Linked DNA regions of Drosophila melanogaster. The protein of the gene in region 1 interacts with the protein of each later gene in a pairwise test. Each region holds a gene or a part of one and is shown on either strand. Other genes may lie near its edges.

The links. The genes of interacting proteins can lie anywhere in the genome.
Region 2: the proteins of CG14113 (region 1) and Hdc interact in a two-hybrid assay, tested with the Drosophila melanogaster proteins (one large-scale study listed by BioGRID).

What each region holds. Positions count from the first base shown.
Region 1 is NT_037436.4:13,327,317-13,330,239, reverse strand, and holds CG14113 (uncharacterized protein), read right to left. Parts: upstream 1,106-2,923; 5' UTR 1,023-1,105; coding exon 1,005-1,022; intron 953-1,004; coding exon 722-952; 3' UTR 541-721; downstream 1-540.
Region 2 is NT_033778.4:10,236,040-10,241,009, reverse strand, and holds the start of Hdc (histidine decarboxylase), read right to left. Parts: upstream 3,023-4,970; 5' UTR 2,535-3,022; intron 1,179-2,534; exon of another isoform or gene 1,124-1,178; intron 142-1,123; exon of another isoform or gene 117-141; 5' UTR 1-116. UniProt on the Drosophila melanogaster protein: Required in photoreceptor transmitter synthesis. Catlayzes the conversion of L-histidine to histamine.

The DNA of each region.
Region 1 (2,923 bases):
TTGGGACATTAAACTTAGTCGCGGCTTAGGCGGCTTAAGCCAAAAGCTCAACTTTCACTTAACCGCAGAGTGCCGAAACGCACCCCCACACTGCCGCATTAATTCCTAATTAAATGCAAGTCTCTCGGCGAGGGTGGAAATCACCGGGACTTCATTTGCATTTTACAGCAGATCTGGACACTCGGCCATCCTCGGACAATGACAAGCGGATGTATTTCATCTCAGTGGCACAGGACACGGCTTCCTTCTTCTGCTGCTGCTGCTCCTTTATCCCTTGTAAATATTTCATGGCTGCTGGAAAACAATTCCTGCCCGTCGCTCAGCTGTTGCACTTGCTGAATAAATTATCAGCTGTCATTATGGCTTCTCCGGTGCAACTCCTTCACGCCTTCATTTGTCACCCGACTGCGTTTGACAATTAAAAATCGCAATTCGCCAGGAAATGCGGGGCCACTCTAGAGTGTTGAATGCAAAGATGTCGAAATGGACCGCCAAAAACAAAACCTGGGCAAAGAAAACTGTTGCAGAGAACACTTTACTGCTGGCACAGAAAAAATATCTTTAATTTTGCATTACAATTGTTAATATAGCCATTGCCAACTATTGCGAAACTTGTTTACATATTTTCGAATAATTAAAATTGCGCTTTGATCGTTGACAATTAGAGGGCAGAAGGCAGAACGCAAATCAATAAAAAAAAACTTAAAAACATTTAATGCAATTATGGATCCCGGGCCACGGCTTTATTCTCCTTGTCATTCCAGTCGAATGACGGTGGCGCCACCTCAGCAACAGGATTCTGTGGCTCACGGATTCCCATAACCTGATCGCTCAGTGATTTGTTTTCGCGCAGAATGCGGACATATCTGAGTGCATACTGCAGCTCCGACATGGGCAGGTCATGCTCACGAATGAAGGACATGGCCTGATCAGTCTCCTCCTCCGTGTATACCTTTAATTCAAAATGAAAAGTCGTAACTTACGAAATATCTTATTGGACAAACCTCTTCTTCGGATGACATCTTGATTTTAAGCAGTATTATTATTTTGTTTTTTTTTTTTCGTTTGTTCGCTTCTACTGTATATGCTATGTGATCAAGCCTGCGAACGCAGTGAAAATGTTTTACTGGCCTACTGAGCGACACTTTATCCCATAATGAAAAAAACTCATGAAATGTACAAAAATGATTCGGCATTGCCAACACAATACAGCATGCGGCCGAAACTGACCCATCAACACTTTGGCATTGCCTTTAATATGGTCTGGGAATAGAAACAGCAGCAGGAGCAGGAGCAGAGCCGGACCAAGCCAGGACGTCACCCCACCGAACCGAAGTGAACCAACCGCATTTTGCATTTGCAGTTTACTCGGTTAACCGCTTTTCTAGCGGATTTAACACATTTCGGCCTCAGCTGGGCGACAACAGAACAGTGGATTGTTTTCGACCACGACATTTCAAAAAGAAAACATTTATGATTTTACACTCTCAATTTGAGCTTGCAAAAGTGTTGGCTCCCTACAAAAATATTAAACTTATACCAGTAATCTTTCTTACTATAAACATAAAATCTATTCTTAAATTCAATAAAATTTGTCCATGTTATATTGACTGAAATAAGGAAATCATTACTAATATATTACAGATTATTAGCTTAGCGCTAATGCCATTTTTGTTTCAACTTTTATGCCCTTTCCTCCACTGTGGCTAGTTGGGGCAAAAGTGAAAACTAGTTCAGCTGCCCAAAACATGCCAAAATGTTTGAATCGAACAATCAACGCAGAGAGATGGATTCAGAGGGGGTTTGTAGGAATGAAACGTTGGTGGATTTGGAGCCAAAATGGGCATAGCTCATATCGAGTGGCTGCATGCATTTGCCATTTCCTCGGCAATCCAACGAACCCGCCACCCATCACAGAGTGCCACGCCCACTCATATGTCAATGGGGCATGCATTTCATCCGAAGTTTTTTTTTTGGTTTTTTTTTTTTTGTTTTTATGCCTCACAAAACCCGACTCGACTGACATTGTGCGAATTTTTGACCCTAGGGTTCAACTTTGTGGAAGGTGGCTGGCATGCTGATGGGGACGATGGTTGGTTTTGGGTTGAATTGTAGCCAACATTCCTTTGTTATGGCCACCGGGCCAATGGGCTTTGGGGCCTGACCATTATAATTTCAAGTGCAAACTTTGACACTTGAATTGTGGTCCACAATGCTCAAAATAAAGTATGCTTTTCGATCCAGCTTTAAGGAACCGCACTTTTCGAGCAGTCTCGCAAGTCCTAGGCACGAGTTAAATAGATAAAATTACGCGCTTGATGGAAAAAACAAGCAAACAAAGATAAGAAAATGCTATCTACGGGCACTGGCAAATAGAATTGCACGAGGACACAACAGAACACAAAAGGCAAACAAAATTATGTTTAAGGTTATATGCTATGCATAAGTAAGTGAGGCAGACGAACTGGAGCGGGTCAGGCAAGCGGAAGTAGAAGCGGAAACGGAAGCTCAAGCAGCAAAAGAAAGTGTCTAACTGGCTGTGCATGTGTGGTGGTGTTGGTGCTGGTATTAGTGGGCAAAACCCCTCCCCCACGGGCACATCCGACAATTGGGAAAACACAACACTCACTCACAGAAGGAACAGAAAGAGAGCGCAACCGCAGGCGACTTTCAAGGCTTGGTTTTTGTCCTGCCGTTGTCCTTACAGATAGATAAAATACTATGTGTTATTACGAGCTCGACATTTAAAGAAAAACATATCCTTAACATAAAGAACATGATTCAGAGCTATAAAAAAATGCCATAATGTAGATGCCATATGATGATCATTGTGCGAAATAACAAGAAATTTGTAATAATAAATCCCCCTTTTTTCCAGTGTAATATGGCTTGCACACGCGCCGAGCGAGATAAAACATTTGTA
Region 2 (4,970 bases), on another chromosome or scaffold:
TTTCGTTTCGCAATGAGTTTGGCCTAATCCTGTTGGACTCTGGCTAGGCTAGCTCCATTTTTCGGGGACGTATGCCAAATTGAAATGCCGAATTGGGAACGTCAACCGTCTGACCGCTGGTGGGAAATAGTAAAAAAAAAACAACGGAGAACAATATAATGGAATAGAAACTTGTGCACTTCCGATGTTGTGGGGCTTCTGGCGTTCGCTGGAAATGGAAATGACAAGAAAAGCGCTTGGAAAAGCTATGAAAACGCTAACAGCTGTGAAAACACCTAGTTGGTGCACCTCGGGCACTGGAAGGGTTCGAATCCGATGGATGGTTACCTAATTGCGGCCGTGATAATATTTATCCTATAACTAGGGCTTTTGGGATAGCGCCGGGCTTTTATAGACCTGGCCGGAACCAATTAGCTTGTTGGCTGCACTACAAATCCGATCTGGCTGTGGGATGTGTTGGCAAGTTGTTGGAACACACGGAGCTCCCTAATTGGCCATCCCATAGGCAGCACGACATTAGGGGTGTAACCAAGGGGGATGCGCTCGGATTGCCAGCTGATTTCCAACAAAATTCCGTTTAAATTGGAAAGCACCCTCTAATTGTTTATGCTTGCTGACTTGCATTGCTTGATTATATTTTAAATACCGCAAATTAACTATATCTGTAACGATCTGCAGTGTGTGCACCCATACTCCAACTGCATTTTGTCATGCATTTAGAACGATGGAAACATGAACTGAAATTCATCGATCGAAATCGAATTAAATATTTGCCGTTTCACAAATAATGTTGATAGTCATAGAACAGCAACATTGTGGCTTTTTAAGCATTTGTAAATAACGAGGGAATTTAAAAAATATGTTAGCATTCATTAGAAATTATCACAGAAAATTCAAACAACTACAAGATAATCTGGTTACATTTTATATGGCTATTAATCATTTACAGCAGATATTAGTTTTTATTTATATACTTAAAATAATTTTATTATAATAAATATATTGAGATTAAGCTAAACACTTTCTTCAAACACTTATTTAAAAATCTTCTGGACAATAATTATAGTATTTCAAAATTTTTTATATATTTCGGGAATATTTTACTACCAAGTTATATACGCACAATTACAATAGATTTCAATTTGACACGCACAGGACTCGAATCAAAGTCCAACTGAATGGAATCGGACTCAAACAGGACCTATTTATACCCGGATACTGTTTGTTCTCCGATGCAAAAACGAAGGACTATCCAAATGAAATTGCTATTAAACAGCAGGATGGCTATTTTCCTAAAATGGGTGATGACAACAATAAGCTTAGAGCAAAGCGTTTGCATTGGTGCACAACTTTGAATACTCTTCTAGGATGTCTTCCTAAAAGTCTTTACTGTAATGATTATATATTTATTATTTTATAAGTTTTATTATTTCTAATATATATATTATTATATAAGTATATATTTATTTAAAATTCGGGCTTCTTAAAATGAATAACTTTTAAAAATAAATTGATAATTTAATGTAATTTTTCTTATTCATTATGAAATATAGAGGCAATGAGTCACAAAACGTCAAGAGCTTAAAAGTATTACGTGTAGTTATCAACATTTTTATGAATGTGTTATCTTTTTGGTTACGAATACTTCCTTTCAAAGAGAAAGAGCATATAAATCGGCAACAGGCGGTTTAAATACAAAAGGACATTGAGCACGACGCAGGATGAAAGAGAGTGGGAGAGAGAGAGGGGGAAGCAACAGCCAATGGAAAGAGGTGTCCTTCGGTAGGGAAACAAATCCACTGACCAATCGGATTGCAGTAGACGCAAATGGCATCAACAGGCTGCCAGCTAAATACGTCCCTCATTTTCTAAGTTGTGTGGGCTTACTGATAAATACCCCATCTGGCCAGATTTAAACGAAATTCCCCAGGGAAAACGAAGAATATGAAGAGTCGCACAGGAAGGCATAAAAGCCGAAAATGTTCGAATCTTATGTTGGCTGGAAGCCCGTCTTAAAACGCCAAAAAATATCAGAAACAGCAAATCAGTCCCCCCTCCCCGCTCATTACACACTTGTTACAAGGGAATGGGGCAGAAGGCACAAGAGAGAAGAAAGAAAGAGGGAGAGCATGAGGTCAATGAGCTTTGTACTCGTCTCGAGACTCAGGAAATTTCGACAAAATACCGCTACATTGAATGGCTTTTGCACGTCGAATGCACATGTATCTGTAGTTGTATCTATATCTGTATCCATGAGTGTGTATTACCAAATATTGAGCAATAAGAATAAGAATTTCGGTTTCTTTTGGTCATGAGACAGACAGTTACAATGCGGCTTTTGTTCCGCTCTCTCCCTTTTTGTTCTTTTAAATCTGCGGCTAAAAATACACAATTTGTGAGCTTTTTCATTTAGCTGTGGGCAACAGATAAATTCGTTTCAAAAGTGCATGTGCATACAAAAACACAATAAAAGATACTGTCTTCTTTCTCTTCGTATTCGGATTGGCTCTCTTGGTTTTGGTTGCAGCGCTTACCTGTCGCGCTCTTAAGTCGATCGCTTGGCTTTCTCTCTCTTTGTGCTTTCTTTACTCTCTCTCAGCACCTCTCTCGCTCTCTTTTCTTCGCTCTGTATTTTTTGGTGTGTTTTGATTCCTTCATTCTTGAGCGCTAAGAACGTTCGTTGACCTCGGAAAGTTGGGGCCTCTGCTTAGCGGTACTTCTCAACCTGTTTTTCCCCTCTTACGCCTTTCCCCTTTTCATCCCACAGCGCGAGTGTGTGTGCGAGTGGGCATGTGTGTGTGTTTGCCGTAGAAGTCTTCCTGTTTGCTCAGCGATTAAAGGTGCAACTGAGCGCGCTGCGATCCGATGACGGGCCCCAAAGATACACAGATACTTGCCGAGCAACGTCACGGGCTTCGGTCCCCAACTCTTCGTACCGAGCACTACGTGTATCATTGGGAATAACAGTCAGACTCTCGGACTTTCGGACATCCCATCTCTGATGAAATGCACGCTTGACTCCGCTGGCATGTGTATTTGTTACCAGCCCATACAGGCCAACTTCCATAAATCGATATTTTAGTATAGTATTTTATATCTTCTCTTCTCATGCTGTAGGGGTTTTAAAACTTTGTTATTTTTAAAAGATACCATGGAAAATTTTATTCAAAGAAAAGCTAATCGGTTTTTCTATAAGCCTATTTAAACTTCACATGCAAATATATCATTATTTTGACGAATTTTAAAAATGATTAAATGTCAGAAATCTTTTTTTGCTTTGGTGTACTTTTTATTGAATGACTTCTATAAAATCCTTTGTAGGAAGGCGGGACTGTAGCTTTTCGGTTGCTGCGCGATTATTTTTGGGCAGTGATCACGCATTTAATTAGCAGGAATTGTGGTGAGCGCCCCTTCTGCAGGTGTGTTGGTGAGCGCGTGCGTGTGTGAGGTGGGAACATCTTGCAGCTCCTTTCTCCTTTCTCGGCTGAGCTTCTGTTTCTGTTTCTTTTTGGAGCTTGCTTGGTTTCCCACTCGCCTCCGCACACAGGTTCCCGCCAGAGGATGATGATTCCACCGCCGATGCAGAGGATGATGACCACGATGATGAGCGCGATCATGATCATCGGATGCAACGGGTCTTTGACTCGGTCTCTGGCCATTTAGTGTGCAATCGTTTGTCCCCACGTCCAGTCCAGTCCACTCGGATTCCGGGCTCTCTCATCGGATCGCTACCAGTCCCGATTACGCTTGCTCTCCTTTCTGATCCGTTCCACTCCGCCGGCTTCATCATCGCCTTCGCCGGCTAACTTCGCCGTTTGAAAACTATTTGATCCGAGAACAATACTGGGACTCGAACTAATTCGCCGATTTTACGATCGCTATTATGATCTCATGGCCGGGAGATGAGTTCAAGGCCTTGACACTGATCTGATCCGATTTGGGTGTCTGAACGAAAGTCCATGTCCATTGATGAGATTGCTTAACCCGGATAACATGCCCAGCACCATCAGAGGTTAGTGAGAATGGGGAGTACTAAACATAAGACCACGAGTAGCTATGATATTCCTAAAATATTAAGCTTTATTAACTATTGGATATATTTAAGTTCTTACAATAAATCGATTTATGTCTAGATGATTTTATAATTAAGGAATGGAATACATAATACTTTTGAAAAGGATCAAATTTTAACAAAGAGGGAATTAAAAAAATAATTTTATATAGAATATAACTTGAATAGGGTCTTAATTCTCTTTAGAACCAAACACGATGACAAATAATTCCATAAATTGTTTTCAAGCATTGTAATAGATTTGCTAAAGGTCTTATGAGTTTGCTAGTTTTGAAACAGAGTTTCTCTGGTAATCAAAATAGTTGGTTGGTGATATTTCGCCTCAAAAATCAGCCTTGCCTGGCTATAGGCGACTATTGGAATCATTAGGCTGGCGAAAAGTTAAAAAAAAAAACCTAATTGATTATAAAAGGCAACGGCTTTCAATAGCCGCAAACAAATGGATGGGATATGCAGTCAAGCTGCAAGACATGCAATGCAGCACCTCCGCCAGTCTCGCCGTTGGATTTCCGATTCTAGCCAAAAGATTTTACCACATCTTCAAGGCAGAACAACAGTAATGGCCCGGCCAACTGTTGCCTCATCGACAGTGGGGCTGCAATAAACCAGTTGGAAGTCGCAGCTAATCTTGCAACACAGTTGCGCAACAAAGAATCCGAGGCAACGGTACTAACGTGTTTGCTGTTTCTGCTGCTATTGTGGCTATACGCTGGCTTCTTTTTGATTCTGTTCTGTTCTTTGCTTTTCTCCGTCTCCATTTTCTTGGCAATCAGCTCTCTGAGCCAGTTGCGTGTAACAGGTTTTTCCTCTTGAATAACTGGGACTTTCTTACGGGACTTTTTCGGAGAGTTTCTGCAGAGAAAACAGGTTAGAATCGGCACAGACTTGCAATAGATGA